Caenorhabditis elegans: one gene and its partners. The protein of the gene in region 2 interacts with the protein of the main gene of each other region in a pairwise test. Each region holds a gene or a part of one and is shown on either strand. Other genes may lie near its edges.

Region 1 (4,624 bases), on a different chromosome or scaffold from region 2:
CCGACAGAAAAAGATTTTAAAATTATTTCTTCAGTACATTTTAAAATATTCCATAACGTTTTTTTGGATGGAAGATGTAATAATTTTTCATACCTTGTGTCAACACTTCTGCCTAACTGTAAGTGGCCACGCGATGGGCAGGCAGGCATAAAGAAATGCTTGCCTACCATAGATGCCTTCTATTACTGATTTTCTTCCACTATTTCCTAACTATTGTGCAGTTTGATAAGATTTTATGATTCAATAACTCTCCAAAAACTGCAAAGCGGATAACTAGGATTACCTGTAGGCTTTTCTTTAGATTGATATTTGTTGAAAAATAAAACTAAAGTTGAAAATGAAATTCAATTCCATTATACTTTAGAAACATAATATTTCAATTTAGAAGTTGGTAGTTTTCAACATTCAATTAAACTTTTTGATTGTGATAGCAAAACAATTTCAAAGACTGGAAAAAAATTCAAAATGGAAATGCCAAAATTAGGAATATGGTTAGATAAATTACGGATTTTCAAAAAATTATTTTAGCGCAGTTCACAAATTGAGCATTTGAAATACTCTTGGTGATTTGACGGTCTCTCCGCAGTTTAAAACACAGGGATATTTTTATTGAATATTAAAATCGAGTCTTACCATAAGTTTAAAAACCGTGTGTGACGTCACACTTATCAAGAAAATATGCTTGTAGAACATAGAATATGATAGTCTAAGAGTTTTTGAAATTTCTTGATAGATGTTAATATATGACAAATACTGTTATTCACAGCAAAAATAATAAAAACAATAAATTATCCTATAGGTAATAAAAATTGGAATACCACTCTTCAAAATTACTATTTCATTTTTTCTTATACCCAAAAGATAATCTTTGTTTTCAATACTAAAATGAAACGATAATACCGGTGAGTTATATCTATATCTACCTAGAATGTTAAAAACACGGTTGAAAAAAACCCGACGGCTCGAGGAGCTGCTGGCTTATCAGTAAGCTACTTGGCTGTACGCGAGAGGATGACGACGGATTCTAGATGAAAGAAGAAGAGGTGATCGGCGTGTGTCCAAGAGCCGATTTTGCGACGGATTTTGGGGAAATGGGAATGAAAGGGAAAAAGAAAAATGAAGAATTATTTGAATATCTTGATTTGATTTATTTTGGTTTTGCGTGGTAGAAACCCTTGATTTTTGATAATAGAGGAAGTTTTCAAAGAATAAATAATTTGAAAGTTCAATAAGACTTTTAAATGCTTAAAAGTAGAGGAGCACTAAAGAGAAAAGTGTTTATTTAAACTGAAAGAAAAATATCATAACATTTTTTGAAAATTTTTTCATTTTAGTCAATCAATGGCGATTGCAAAGTTTTTGCTACTGATAAACCTAGAAGTCATTCAAAAATGCAACAATACTCTGAATTTCTCAAAAATCTGAAACTAGATAATTTGGACATTTACCAAGGCCTTGGCATAAAATTTACAAAAATCTTACAACTTTTGGAGTGTTTAATTATGATGTTTGGTTATCTCAAAGGACTTCGTGGTATTATTTACAGGTTGTGTAAAAATTGGGAAAATAATTGAATAAGAGCAAAATGGATTTGAAAAGTAATATGCAACGGTTCAGAAACCATACATATTTAGGAGGATCTTGAATTCTGTCTCGGCCCCCTCCCACCAAAATACGCATAAAAAAGATATGAATCTACCCCAGAAGACGCCAAAAAGAAGTGGGCTATCTCAACTTGTTCGGCCACAACTTCACTGTTCATTTCGAAACCTAAACTGTTTTATTTAAATATACGAATGTTCATGAAACCATTCTAGCAGGAGGAGATGGCTGAGACAAGGGCGGTACACAGAAATAATAGTAATGATCGCCAATTTTCGGAAGAGGAAAATACAAAATGAGTCAGCATACATTGTCACAGGACGGCTCTCAAACAGTAGTGATGGGTGATTGAGGAAACGAGAAAAAGAGAGAGAGGAATAAGAGAAAATTGGTGGAAAATTGACTCATATTATACAATGGACGACTCGAACGAAATTTGAGTAAATAAACATGCTCAACCTATTGGAAATTGATATGATCGTAAATTATTGGCAGTTAGAAAAAAAATTCGTTGAAATCGCAAAATTTGATTGAAAAGTTATACGAACACCTGAAGATGAACCTACTATATATGCTAAATGTTATCTATACTCTCCCCATATCCTAAAATCATTTAGCAAAAATTTGGTCTAACAAAACTCAAAAGTGACTCAAATTTTCCCAACACCGAAGTGCTCTTCCTCTTTATTTTTTGCCCATTTCCCCAACTTGCTCTTTCCCCCTCTTTCTCCGTGGTAACCAAAACCAGATGGTTTCATTTGTTCCCAAAAACCATCCGGCCCCTCCGTGTCTTTTCATCAATAGACCTCCTAAAAACTCTTTGGGTGTAAAGTGTTCGTGGATTCTCATCAACTGGTGGGACCTACAAAGATTTCGAGAGCCACTTATTGCTAAATTGAATGATAGAAGAACAATGTGCGAGTTATGGAAAATGAATTGGAAGGGTTTGGGTTGGAAGATTTTCAGTTTTGACAGTCAATAAATGTTTAAATCTAAATTGTATATTGAAACATTTTTAACTGGTAAAGTGTAATAAAAACAAAATATCATATTTTGTAAAAAGAAAACCTAAAGCTATCCGAAATTTTTGAATAATCTCAGTGGGTCAGTGGGTAAATAAGTATACCAAAATTTCTTTCATAAAACCTTTGAAAGTTGATAAATTCGAAAACTCTTACTTTTCTCTAAAAATAAATAACAATAAACTGTCAGGTACTGAGTGAAATGTGGAGCGCGAATCGCCCATAAAACACTCACAAATACCATTCCTTCTTTTTTCCTTCTTCTCTCAATATTTACTAAACATCATCATAACTATATAGATATTTTCTGACTTGGTTTTATAGTATACACACTATTCTAGTTTTTAGGTTTAACTTACGTTTTTCGGGTTTTCCTGGGATTTGTGCAATGATCTCAGCAATTGTGGCAATAGTACCTGAAAATTGGTCTTGATTCTAATTTAAAAAAATTTAAATTAGTAAAGAAATAAAACAAATGAAATCTCATGTCCCATGGGGAAAATTTGGGCGGCTATCGGGATCTACAAAACCTAAAAGAAACCACAAAAAAATATGAATTTATTTGGAAATGAGGGCTTCGTCTTTCGGTGGTGAAGGAAATGCCGCAAATTTATGGGTTACTCTTTTTTGTGTTTCTCTGGATTTTTGAGAAAAAATGCTTCACACAGGGATATTGGGATGAGCAAAAAAGGGCGTTGCGACAAAAAACCCGAAGAAGGAAAAGACAAATGGTCGAAGGACATGGATATGAGAATAGGTGAATGGATATGTTTTTGAGAAGGAATTGAGGTATTTTGGAGATGCTGGTAATAGAACGTTTGGGTTAAAAAACTGAATTTCTTTCAATTTAATAAGATTTGATAATACTGAATGATATGGACTATTTGAAGCATGTAGCTGAAATGAGCATCTAGAAGTCTACGATTTCAGATTCACTGAAGTCATGTAGGGTCCGGTTAATCTTTTGTAGAACCCAATTCAGATTTTAAAATGCTGGTTACTACGACTTCCCGTAAAATTAATAATTAAGAATTTCCAACGAATCGAATTGGCAGAAAATCGACCAGACAAGTTGTGGATACCTTTTCTGTGGCCCTGATAGGTACCTGGTTTTACAGAAAAAAGTTTTACTTAAACAAAAATGAAACTTGGATTCCACCAGTACCCACCCAAGTAGTATTTATACGCGACCTACAAGAAGAAGCTACTACGGTAAGCCAATCGGGAATAAGTGAGACAAGAGATGTAATCACAGAGAGAGTTTTGTTTAGGCCTCACAATGATGTCGAAACTAAGAAGGAAGAGTTGTCATAGTGTATAACGAACCTAGGCCATCAATCATACTCACACACCATAAACGCTGGACTCTCCCCATCTTCAGGCTCGTGTATCCGAGTCGCATCCCCCTAAGGAGCATCAGGTGCTCTTACCCATCAAAACGACATAATCCATCAAAAATTGGCGCGCGCTCATGTTGAAGCCCGAGTCGAGCTGAGCTCTTTAAGAGGAGCCGCTGGCTCGTTTGTTGCAAAACAAACGAAGGGACAATACGGGTTTTGGGTATGGGATAACACAACACTTGGGACACATTCTCAAAATATTCGTCGAGTTTTAAGGTTTCTCTATTGTTAGGTCCTTACAAAAATAAATTGAAAAAATCTAAAAATCAGGAGCAAAGTGCCCAGAGGGCATCGTCCATCTCATTTTGAGTTACGAGTACTACTCTCAAAATTTCCGGATCCAAGAAATAAGGGCAAACCTTTCTCCAGTCCCATGGGTCATATAATTTTTGCCAAACATTTAGCAATGATAGACGGGATGCTTCTGGTGGTGGTTTTTTGAAGGGTTGCATGAAGTTTTGACCTGGTAGAGGTTAAGGTGGCATCAGGGAAATATATATATTGTGGTAAAGCCCCAGCAGGCATAACTTTTAATCAGTTTTTATCTTTTTTACGACCACCCAAGTGAGAAACAAATATGAACTGTGTGGTTCATTTAGT
Region 2 (7,680 bases):
AGTATTTGGATCATTTTGATATTATTGTTTCACAAAATTTTTTTTGAAAAATTTAAACAAATTCAGTGGTTTTTGCGAGAAATATCAAAATTCCGAGGGGGTTCTATAGAAGTTGCACGGTCGTTTTTACAACTTTTTGACCTAATTCCCGTAGTTTTGAATGGATTTTTCTAAAAATTTTGAACAGTAGGTTTTTTGGCATTTAGAATCGATTGGCATAAACAAAATTTCATGAAAAATATCAGAACATGCTAAAACTCGAAAATTTAGTGGGGGTTCTATAGAAGTTGCACGCACTGTATATATACCGTATTTCCTAATTTTCGAACGGGTTTTTTCCTCATGTTTCCCATTAAGTTATGGCAAATATCATCAATTTCAATAACAACTTATGAGCCGAAATGGACGAATTTTACAATTCATACTTAAAAATTGTCCGAGTTGTACTCATGTTTTGCCTATTTTGACTTGTTATACCAAGTCTGTAAAAGTTTTCCTAATTTTTAGAACGATTTTATAATGCAAATTTTGAATTCCTAAAAATAGGGAACAAATGAAGGGGTGCAAAACTATTAGAGGTGCTTAACTAATAAGGGAAACACGGTAAATCTATATATATACATACGTTCAAAACTGTTTGAACCGCTACTCCTCGCATTTTTCGAGTTTTGAGTTTTCAATTTTTTTTTCTCTGTAGGCCGTTGCTCGTCGAAACCGACTGAATGGAGTTCAAAGTTTTACTGGAAGCACGGAATTCAAGCCATCAACTTTAAACCTCGAGAAAAATCAGCAAAACGATCCGGTACGTATTTCTTTTAACTTTTATATATTGTTTACCTTTTTTTTTCAAATCTTTTCAGAATCGTCATGCATTGGCACAAAAACTGCTCTCGTATCAAATTAGAAATGGGTGGCCGTATGACGAGCGCTTCTACAGACCAGGTTTTGAAAATTTTTCAGATGAATATAGACTTGGAAATTTCAGATGTGGATGTTTACACCGAGGAGCAAAAGTCAGAAATTGCTCGAATGCGTTTCCTACCGCAGTAACTATCACCTGACTGGTCTTTTTAATAAATCGAATAATACTCAACATCACGTGTTTTTATTTAAATAAATACCTCAGTTTATTATTTTTGTTTTGAATTTTCTTAGATTTTCATCTTGAAATTCTCGTTACATTTGGCAAAAGCATTATGGAACTAAATCTGGTTACGATTAAAATCTTATACTTACTGAGATAAAAATTTATTTGCTGCTTAGTGTTCTATAGTTTAGTTTCAAATTTATTTTTCCTTAGAATAAACTATTTTAATTCATTTTATTTCACCAAACTTACAAATAAATCTACGTTTCCGGCTAACTTGCAAGTTAAAAAAGGCAAACAACTTGATGGCCGAGTTCTTGTGGCCGAAGTTTTTAAATGAGGACTAACTGCTTGGCAGGTAATAAAGGTATGCAGTGAACCGTTCTTGTGTGCTCTTTTTATTGATTTTGTTATGGATTTTTTGATACATAGCATTCGTGTAAAAATTCCTATATCAAATCTTTGAAAAACAAATCTTTTTTTTTGTAAATATTGTAAATGTAATTAACATATCCTTTTCTTCTTTCTTCCTGCTCTGACTTGTTGTTCCACATTAGAATATTCATCATGTGGCCCGAGGGGACCTTATTGATTTGGTGGCGTTTCTCTTCCCGCTCGTTGCGTGCACGTCTGTCCCTATTACGCTCTATCTGCCTCGTCCTCTCCGCCCGCGCTTCCAAATGGAGCCTTCTTCTTGCTCTTGCAATTCATTTTTCACCCACGTCATCCGGCTGTGTTGCTCTTTTTTTTGCTTCTGGACTAACCGTCAACTTTAATGAATACTTCTTACAGGAAAAAAATAAACCAAAAACAAAAGGAAAAAAAATTGAAAAAAAATGGGTGCTCAGGGTAGCAGAGTGGATTTTAAGCAAGTTGTACTAGATGTGACGTCCAAGCCGGGAAAAGTTAGTTTTGAATCAAAAGTTTTCAAAAAGTGAAACTATTGCAAATACTGGAACTTGTATATATTCCTCGCCTTTAAATATTACCAATTTTGAAATTTTTAAGCGACTTTGTTTGGCAATATTAGACTAGTATTAGTATTTTTCTAGAAAATATTTTTGGGCCAGGTATGCCACACAAGTACCCAAATATTGCCAACTATCTAAAATTCCAGGACGATGAGACATTTTGGGATCAAGCTTGGTGGCCAGATTCAGTGAACGAGATTTTCGCCATGATTTCCGGAGAAGACATTCGAAAGTTGAGAGATGAATCGCCGAAAAATCTAGCCACACTCGTTTACAAAACCGTCGAAAAACTGCAGTTTTCTAGAAATCATCCGGCTACCATTGATCAGAAGAAGGTTTTTTGATTGGTTTAATTCAATTTTTAAATTATTCTTTTTTTCCAGACTATCAACGCAATTCGACTGCTCACTAGGATCGTACCATACTTGCTCGAAGATGCCGAGTGGCGTGGCTACTTCTGGTCTCCGATTCCCCATGGCGACGCTGCAAAGCCGCTGGCTGCGGTACTTCTTGAGACACTCTCAGATCTTCTTTTCTGCCCAGAATTCACAATTACACATGCAAATGGAGTGAGAAATACTAGTTCAAAGTAAAATTAAAACAATTATGGTTTCAGCAAAAAATCGACGATCTTTCCACAATCGATTCGTGCGAGTACATCTGGGAAGCTGGAGTAGGATCTGGAAATAAGCCTCCAATGGTGGCTCTGCACTATCAGAATCGGACGGAAATATTGAAGCTTCTGCTTACATGCTTTGCAGAATTGATTTATGCGCCGGTTTCAGGTAAGCATCGTTGTTTCGAGTTGTTCCTGAAATTTCAAAATTTTAAAAATGGAAACTAATAAAAGTTTTAAGGGTTCTTGGATTACTCAAGTAGTGTCGGAAAATTAAAAATAACGTCAAAACTGTATTAAAATACATAAAAACATGTATTTTACAATTGCCTCGCGCCCCTTGTTATAACACACAAGTTATACCACTTTTATTTCTCCACAACAAAACAAACGTTTTAAAGGTTTAAAAAGCTATCTGAAAATCTACTACTAAAAATTAAAAAAAAATTATTCCAGACGAGACCCGACTTCGGTGGGTTATCCACTTCACGTCTGTCACAAACCCGCACGTTCTTCCCATTTTCACTTCGTTGCTGAACATCGTTTGCGCCTACGACCCCGTTGGCTACGGATTGCCCTACAATTATTTGCTATTCAACGATTCTAGAGAACCACTAGTCGAAATTGCTCTCCAGGTTTCTTTTGAAAAATTTTGTTTACCAATAGTCACCGTTTTTTTTTGTTGTTCAGGTGCTCATTGTATGTTTGGACAAAGAGACTCAACCGAACACGGATGATTCCGGATATAAAGACAACTACTTCATCAATTACCTAAGTAGAATTCACAGGGAGGAGGATTTCGATTTCATGCTGAAAGGAATCACACGACTTCTCAGTAACCCCATCCACTCGTCGTCATCTTACCTTCCAAACTCAACGAAAAGAGTCAACTTTCATCAAGAGCTATTGGTGCTTCTGTGGAAATGCTGTGAAATCAATCAAAAGTTCATGTTCTACGTTCTGAAAACTTCTGACGTTCTGGACATTCTCGTACCAATTTTGTACCACATTTCAGATGCCCGAAATGATTCTGGTAGAACTTTTGAAAAACTGAAATAACAAAATGTAGCAATATTTTCAGGAAGAGTTGGTCTCATCCATATGGGTGTTTTCATTATTTTGCTGCTCAGTGGAGAGCGAAATTTTGGAGTTCGTCTGAATAAGCCATACACAGCCAAAGCAAATATCAATGTGCAAACGTTTACTGGAACACACGCAGATTTATTAATTTTAGTGAGTGCTTGATGTAGATGAAATTTGAACTATGCATTTAAAGAACTAAAAGATATTCCAAAAAATATAATATCATCCAACTTTAACTACATGAGTATCATATTATATTTTGCTTAAACATACTAAAACATGCCCAAAATAACCGAATTTTATAATAAGACTTCTCAAGAAATATCCGAAAATTTTTTATGACTGGTCAAAAATAGGGTTCAAAAAAGAGCAAAATTTTGCTGAAATCTGAAACTCTACCAACTTTTTCTTGTCACAACAGCGTAAATACAGTTTTTATTTGATTTATCGTTTTTAATGCATATTCTGGTAGTTTATCTCGCAAAAATTTTCTGATTATGACATATTTTAAGCAGTGGGGCAGGCATCCAATTTTAAGCATTTTTGCGTGCTTATGGGCTTAAAATTTGTCTGGTCCAACGAATATACACGAGATATACTACCTAAATATGCAATAAAGGGTCACGAATATCTAATAAAACTGTATTCTAGCAGCTACTGCGGCAAAAAAAACACGTTGGTGAAATTTCAGATTTAAGTAAAACTTAGCTCTTTTTTTCAAAATTTTGACCCGTTATAAAAAAATTTCTGAAATTTTTTTGAGGAGTCTCATTATGAAACCTTGAATATCCCTTCTCTAAATTGGTTTTTTTCAGGTTATCCATAAACTAATCACAACTGGAAATTACCGCCTGCAGACCCTGTTCGATTGTTTCCTGACAATAATGGTGAATGGTAAGCAGCGCATTAGTCAATACAATAAAATCACGCAAAAACACTTGATGAATTAAACACTTGAGATTTTCAGTGTCTCCATACATGAAATCGCTATCAATGGTGGCGGCAAACAAACTCGTTCATCTCGTCGAGGCATTCTCAACTCCTTGGTTCCTGTTCTCATCGCCCACAAATCCTCAACTAGTTTTCTCACTTCTTGAGGTGTTTAACAATGTTATCCAATACCAATTTGATGGTTTGTCATTGCAATTTAAATTTTAAATTTAAAATCAGTCTTGGTTTTTTCAGGAAATTCCAACTTAATATATACAATCATCAGAAAAAGGAATGTATTCTACCAACTTTCCAATTTATCAACGGATGCTGCTTCCATCGCGAAAACCTTATCAGGACGAAAAAGTAAATGTAAGTAAAATATTTCATTATTCGGATTAACCCTTTAAAAAATGTGTTGCAGCTGCTAATCGTGACGAGATGGTAGATCAGCTGAAGTCCCCAACCTCTACCGCTCCACCGGAAATCCCAGCAGCTGATGCTCCCGCAGCACAGACATTAGGAGGAGGTAGAGCATATTATTTCATGTTTGAATTATAAATGTCAACTAATTTTCAGTGAGCACAACGACGGGACTTGCAGCAACGCCAGCTCTTGCTTCCATGACAGGAAATGTTGGAAACTGGGAAGAACGGCCGGAGTCTTCGCAAGATAGTAAGTGGCAAATGTTTAGAAAATATATTTGAAATCATTTAAGTGATGCTAAAATGTCCAAATATCATTGTAGTGTTATAAAAATGGTAAAATTTTACCCAAAAAAACTTTGATACTAATTTTTTAGGCAACTTCTAGAGTTGAATCTGAACCACATTTCGCAAAAATTTGGCGACTTACCAAAACTTTAACTCATAAGTTTTGAAAATCTGAAAATGTTTTCTTATGTTGGCCGAATGTATTTAAACTGAATCCCAACTCACAATACTGCTTGAAAAATTTTAAATTCCAATAAAAAAAAATTTTGTAGACGAGTGGATAGCAACACAAGAATGGGCCGATGCATGGAAGTCGAAACTTCCTCTGCAGACTATCATGAGATTGCTCCAAGTGTTGGTGCCGCAAGTTGAAAAAATTTGCATCGATAAGTGAGTTATTAATTTTGAAACAATTTAACTACATAGCATTTCAATGTAAATGTAAAAAACAATGTAAAAATGATAAATAAAACGACAACGGTTAGTCAAAGTTGAGAATACTATCTGAGGATATACGCTAGATACTTCATATATATAATTATTAAATTTATTTTCCTAAAATGAAATTCAATATTTACAGAGGCCTCACCGATGAGAGCGAGATTCTGAAATTCCTTCAACATGGAACTCTTGTGGGACTTCTTCCAGTACCACACCCAATTGTAATCAGAAGATATCAAACGAATATTGGCACAAATCACTGGTTCCGCATCTACATGTGGGGAGTCATTTATCTCAAGTAAGATTTTGGGCTGGATGGTCTATAATAGGAGCAAAACGTCTGGACTGAAAATGTGCCGAAATGAACGAGTTTCGTAATGAGACTTCACAAAAAATTATTAAAAATTTGTTTTGGCAGTTCAAAATTTACTAATTCTAGCTGAAATCGTAAATTTTGCCCATTTCACAGTGGTGCAGCCGTCCGAAGTTGACTTTTTCTAATTTTTCATATTTTCCGGCATATTTTGAAAGTTTATCTCAAGTTATTTCTTTGATTAAGGCACATTTAAAGGTAAACCATATTCAACACAACATTTTGAATCGTCATAAAAAAATTTCCGAAAACTTGTTGAGAAGTTTCATTACAAAATTCGTACATTTGAACACACTTCTAATCTATACTAGGGCTTCCATGTAGGCGCCAAAACGCTTGCCGCGCACGCCTGCCTTGCGAGCCGCGCATCCTGCATAGTGTGGCCCGGAACCCAAAAAATGTCGGCCGCGTCGAAAGAACCACTCTTCGCACAATATGGTGTGAAAACCAGGCTTTTGATTTCACGCCATGGTGCATCAGGAGGCAGTCGTCAGGACCTGAAACCGCGCCTGGCTCCCATGGAAGGCCTAGTCAATACCTTCTAAGTACCCAAAAACCAATACTCTTCTTTTAAGAAGATATTTCGCAACATCACATGTCCACTTTTTCAGACACACACAACCCCCAATTTGGTACGACACCGATGTGAAACTTTTCGAGGTTCAACGAGCGTGAACAATCTAGAACATGTGTCACTTTATGAATATCGCTTGTGCATTATCCTGCATTTCGCATATCTTCTTTATGTTGTGCATGTGAAGTTTTTCTTGTTTTCTTCCTCTCATTCTCATCCCCATTTTTTTTTCAATACCACATCAAACAAGCGTTCGAGCTTCGTATATCTGTGTTCACGTAAATTGATTCTCTCTTTTTTCATTCAGCATTTTCTGTTTTAAAATTTTTGAAATTTTAGATCTCTGAATGTTTCTTGTGAAAAAAATGAAGTAAAAACCTTATTTATATTCATATTCAAAAGGCATAATATCACTGGTCTTTTGACAAAGGACGTAAGAAAAAAGTACGCTGTCCTAATGTTCCCGGCCGAAAACTCAATTTGCGTTTCACAAAAAAAAAGTGAACCACTGCCGGAAAATGATGTATTGAAGCTACCGGCTAACTGAATTCTCTATTCTAACAAAATTTTGAATATGCTGCTTTTTGTGGAAAATCAGTTTCTGTCATGAGAAGAACTATGCATTATTGTGTATAATTGAAGATGGTGCATCGTCAAAGGGGGTTAGTCTAAATACATTTATGTATAATAGTTTAAAACTAACGAGAACCACAGTTTTAACTTTTAAAATAGAGTAACGGCAATGAGGGGATATTGTTTGAATAAAACCACTCCTATGGTGCCAAAATTACCAAATATAACAGCGCGGTTCTTACTACACTGCTGAAAACTTTGGTAGCCGATGTGCAACATCTTCGATCTTGTCTTAAATTGAATGATATATAATGATTTT
Region 3 (3,742 bases), on a different chromosome or scaffold from region 2:
TTTCTCTATATTTCATGAAAACTTTAGTTACAAAATTATGTTCAATCTCGAAAAAAATGAGATTTTTTTTGAAAATTTATTTCAGACTACTTGGTTCTAAATTTCACAAAAGTTTTCCACGGAAAATTCGGAGTTTTCTTATACTACAGCAATTTAGAAGACCCTTCTTTGGCAAGCGAAAAAAATTTTTGCAAAAATTGTAATGCTAACTAAATTCTAATTTTCAGATTCAACCGGAGCTCATCAGTCTTAACCCAGACGACATTAACAAGGTCAATGAGGGACTTCTCGAGTTGGAAGAGGAAGAACGAAAGAAGATTCTCTACATTCGTCCGATGGCTGTTCAATATACGCCACGTCACAAGATGCGCAGCAAGAAGAGTGGTTGGAAGATGGAGGCTCGTAAGAATATTGTCAAGGATCAGATTCGAATGGAACGGAATATGGAGAAACATGCGGTGGAGAAGGAAGTTTTTGAAGCACCGGAAGTGGATGACGAGGCTCCGAAAAAGAAACACATTCTGGATCGTCTCAAATAGAAGGATAATCAATTTTATTTTTTGTTGTTGTTGATTTTGCGTTATTTTCGTTTTGTTTTTACTGAATTTTTGAAATTATTTCTTTAAAAGATTTGACATTTGGAAATTTATGAAACGAAGGAAAAAACAAACAGTAAAATAAAAAAGTAGAAACTAGTATGTATTTTATTCGTAATCTTCCTCTTCTCCCTCCTCATCATACTCTTCCTCATCCTCAAAGTCTTCTTCAACCTCGTAGTTCTCCTCCTCTTCATAATCTTCTTCCCCTTCCTCTTCTTTCATAAGATCGTCATTCTTCTTCTGAAGATCCGCAATGATCTTCTTCTGGGCTTCCAACTGCCCCGTCGTCTCGATCATCATCGCCTGGATCTTCAACGTGAGCGCCTCTTCGAATCGATGCTTGTCCTCCAGCTCTTCAAGCCGTTTCATATAGACTTCAGTGAGCTTGTTCGCATCGTCGACCTGTTTCGTGAGGCTCTCGATGGCCATCGTCTTTTTCTTGGATTCTCTAGCAGCACTGTCCAATGCATTAATCGTCAATCTCAAAACACCCTCTGGTGGAATACCAGTTTTCGCTGCTGGCATCAAATTTTTGATTCTGAAAAGTGTTACTTTTTGCATTTGTGCTTGTTATTATGGGGACGCAAAAAATGGTTTTTTGAAATCATCAAGGCACAAGCGCGCTCCAATGATGGGTCTCATTAGGTATTGGCAGGAAACTCGTAAATTCAAACGTTTTTGTTGTTATTATCGATTTTAATGTCGAAATGGTCTTTAAAGATGCATTTGAATAAGGGTTTCTCGTGTATTTTACATGATTTGTTTCGACATAGAAATAGTGGAAAAACTCTTGAAAAAATTTGAATTTCTGATTTTGCCTTCGCCAATACCTAACGAGACCCAACTTTAGAGGCGTTGCGTTTTAACTTGGGTAGGCTCCGAAACTCACCGTTTTTCATTCTCAGGATCTGTGCTCTCACCAAGGTTAGCCACAAGTAATTCGATTCTCAAGAATGTCTGATATGACCTGAAAAAATAATTCGATAAATTTTAGGAACTCAAATTCTTAAAAACTCACTCATCAATTTTCGCATCCCTTTTCTGCTGTGCTTCCCTCAAAAGTTTCTCCAATCGACCAATTTCCTCATTTGCTACTTGTTTTCCTTCTTTCGTCTCCTTTTCAAGATCCGAAATTCTTTCCGTGGCAACTCTCAATTTCTCACTCAAACATTCCACATATTCGACATTCGAATCAGTCTTCTTCGCATCGAAAAGCTCTTTTCGTTGCTCCAAAAACTTTTCAGTGAGCACTTTGAATTGCAAGTTCTTCGCGGCAAGCTCGGTTTGCACATTGCGGAGTTCGATCGAAGCCATTATTTGAATATTACAGACAGAAAAAGGGTGACAACCAGTCGATAGGGACCTGTGCGAGTGAAATGAGACAAGAAGAGGAGCACTGCTAATAGATGGTATCTACCGTAGCAGTTGACCTTTCCAAGAGGTAGACACGTCATCATTGTCTGACATACTATGTTTGCTCTCTCTCTCTCTCTCTATATGGTCTCGAAGGGAAGGAGATTAGGTCATAGGAGACGTTTATTGGAATGAAACACTTCATTAAAAAGGGTAATTAGTGAACTAGATGAGCTAAATGCATATTCAAATTTGTAAAAGGCCACCTAAAATGTTATGCATTGTCAAGAGAAATGGCAGTACTACCTAAACTGTGGCTGTGAAAATTATCTGGATTAATTTTTTGAAACCTAAAGAACGGTCATTGATAGTCAGAACTTTAGTTAATATATTTTTCTTGCATTTTTACATTTTTTGGGTAAAAAAAGGTGTCATGTTCAAAGTTTCCATTAGTTTTCAATATCTGAAGCTCTTTTTACCAAACGTTGAATCAAAAATAGGTGACAGACATTATTCCAATTTCAATTACCAACTTGTATTCTAGGCATTTTCTTTCTGCTACAAACTTTCTGCAACACTTTTTTTTGTGAATATTAACCAAAAAGTTGGCATGACAGACGCCGAATTAAATAGTTGATTGGTCAGATAACTGTATCTTTTTTCTCATGTTATCAGTGAAGCAAGAATCAAAAACTTTCAATAAACCGAAAATAGTTCATTCGAAAAAAAAATTATCTAGAAATTTCAGTTAAGTTTTTGGTAAAAAATTCAAAAATTCAACAAAATTGAACGGTATACGACGAAGGTTTCAAGCACACGAACATTGTTGAGTTGTCAAATGGATAAGTGTATGCACCTGGACATGCATTCTTGAACATCTTCGTTGTAGAGCTCATTGTGCATTTATCTGGAGAATCATACTCCCCACGGCAGCATTCCTTATCAGTTCCATATCCAAGACATCCAGATTTACACCCAACAGTGTAACCTGAACTACTCTTCACTGCAAGTTCTGTAGGGCATGCAGCATTTACATCAGAGATGCATCCACCGGCTCTTTGACATCCCAACCCATCAATTAACATTGGGAGATTGTAACCATCGATTAGATTAACTGCATAAAAGTCTCTTCCAGCCCAAGATTTCAAATTGAATTCTGCGACAGATGCGGGTGGAGTTCCTGTCCTTCCATTGCATTGTTCTGCGTTCTGGAAAAAGTGTAAAACTCTCAAACCTTTTTCATTTTTTTTCAAGACTTCGGGTATTCCCAATTTCGGATGTTTTGAAACTTATTCAGTATATGCGTGTGAATTCTGCGAAACGTTTGAAACTTCCTGTCAACATTTACTGTTGAGAAGCTTGCCCAAAGTTTGGCAGAAAGTAGCAAAAATTTGGCAAAAAGATTATATAGTTTCGACGACCGTAAAACGTGCCCAGAGTTTGACAGAAAAAAGACCAAAAATTTGCCCGAAAATGAAAATGTATTTTGGTAATAGATTTTGGAATATTCATCAAAAAAAAAATGATGTACGTCCTTGACAATTCACGACTTTCAGATATTCTAGAACATCTAAAGTACTTTTTCGTATTTCCCTTTTACACAATTTTTTGGCTGAACTTAAAAAATTGTTCAAAATGTTTTGATCAAATATCCCCAAGTGTTTATTTGTTTCAAAACTTCCATAGAAACTTATACTTTCAAAATGATACACTGTTAAAGTATAGATCTATAGACTTCAAAAAAGTTACATTCAAACTACGGAAAACTCACCAAACAAGTTCCAGTCTCA

Evidence for each region. The genes of interacting proteins can lie anywhere in the genome.
Region 1: the proteins of hid-1 (region 2) and mig-39 interact in a two-hybrid assay, tested with the Caenorhabditis elegans proteins (one large-scale study listed by BioGRID).
Region 3: the proteins of hid-1 (region 2) and atz-1 interact in a two-hybrid assay, tested with the Caenorhabditis elegans proteins (one large-scale study listed by BioGRID).

The regions. Positions count from the first base shown.
Region 1 is NC_003281.10:8,465,451-8,470,074, reverse strand, and holds the start of mig-39 (Zinc finger BED domain-containing protein 39), read right to left. Parts: upstream 3,041-4,624; 5' UTR 2,984-3,040; intron 2,367-2,983; exon of another isoform or gene 2,077-2,366; intron 1-2,076. UniProt on the Caenorhabditis elegans protein: Regulates the timing and orientation of distal tip cell migration during gonadal development. May act in parallel to cacn-1 and Rac GTPases to control the anterior and posterior migration of distal tip cells.
Region 2 is NC_003284.9:2,487,167-2,494,846, forward strand, and holds hid-1 (Protein HID1), read left to right. Parts: upstream 1-1,881; 5' UTR 1,882-1,923; coding exon 1,924-1,992; intron 1,993-2,204; coding exon 2,205-2,393; intron 2,394-2,441; coding exon 2,442-2,627; intron 2,628-2,674; coding exon 2,675-2,843; intron 2,844-3,130; coding exon 3,131-3,309; intron 3,310-3,364; coding exon 3,365-3,707; intron 3,708-3,755; coding exon 3,756-3,907; intron 3,908-4,572; coding exon 4,573-4,651; intron 4,652-4,724; coding exon 4,725-4,889; intron 4,890-4,942; coding exon 4,943-5,059; intron 5,060-5,111; coding exon 5,112-5,216; intron 5,217-5,266; coding exon 5,267-5,362; intron 5,363-5,672; coding exon 5,673-5,790; intron 5,791-5,980; coding exon 5,981-6,139; coding exon of another isoform or gene 6,140-6,143; intron 6,144-6,825; coding exon 6,826-6,889; 3' UTR 6,890-7,173; downstream 7,174-7,680. Other genes in the region: K02E10.4 (uncharacterized protein), read left to right, coding at 698-802, 861-942, 986-1,050.
Region 3 is NC_003282.8:12,374,141-12,377,882, forward strand, and holds atz-1 (Protein atz-1), read right to left. Parts: upstream 1,982-3,742; 5' UTR 1,914-1,981; coding exon 1,618-1,913; intron 1,567-1,617; coding exon 1,489-1,566; intron 1,138-1,488; coding exon 705-1,137; 3' UTR 541-704; downstream 1-540. Other genes in the region: wdr-46 (WD repeat-containing protein 46), read left to right, coding at 228-539. UniProt on the Caenorhabditis elegans protein: Plays a role in meiosis, germline development and oocyte morphogenesis. May play a role in DNA replication.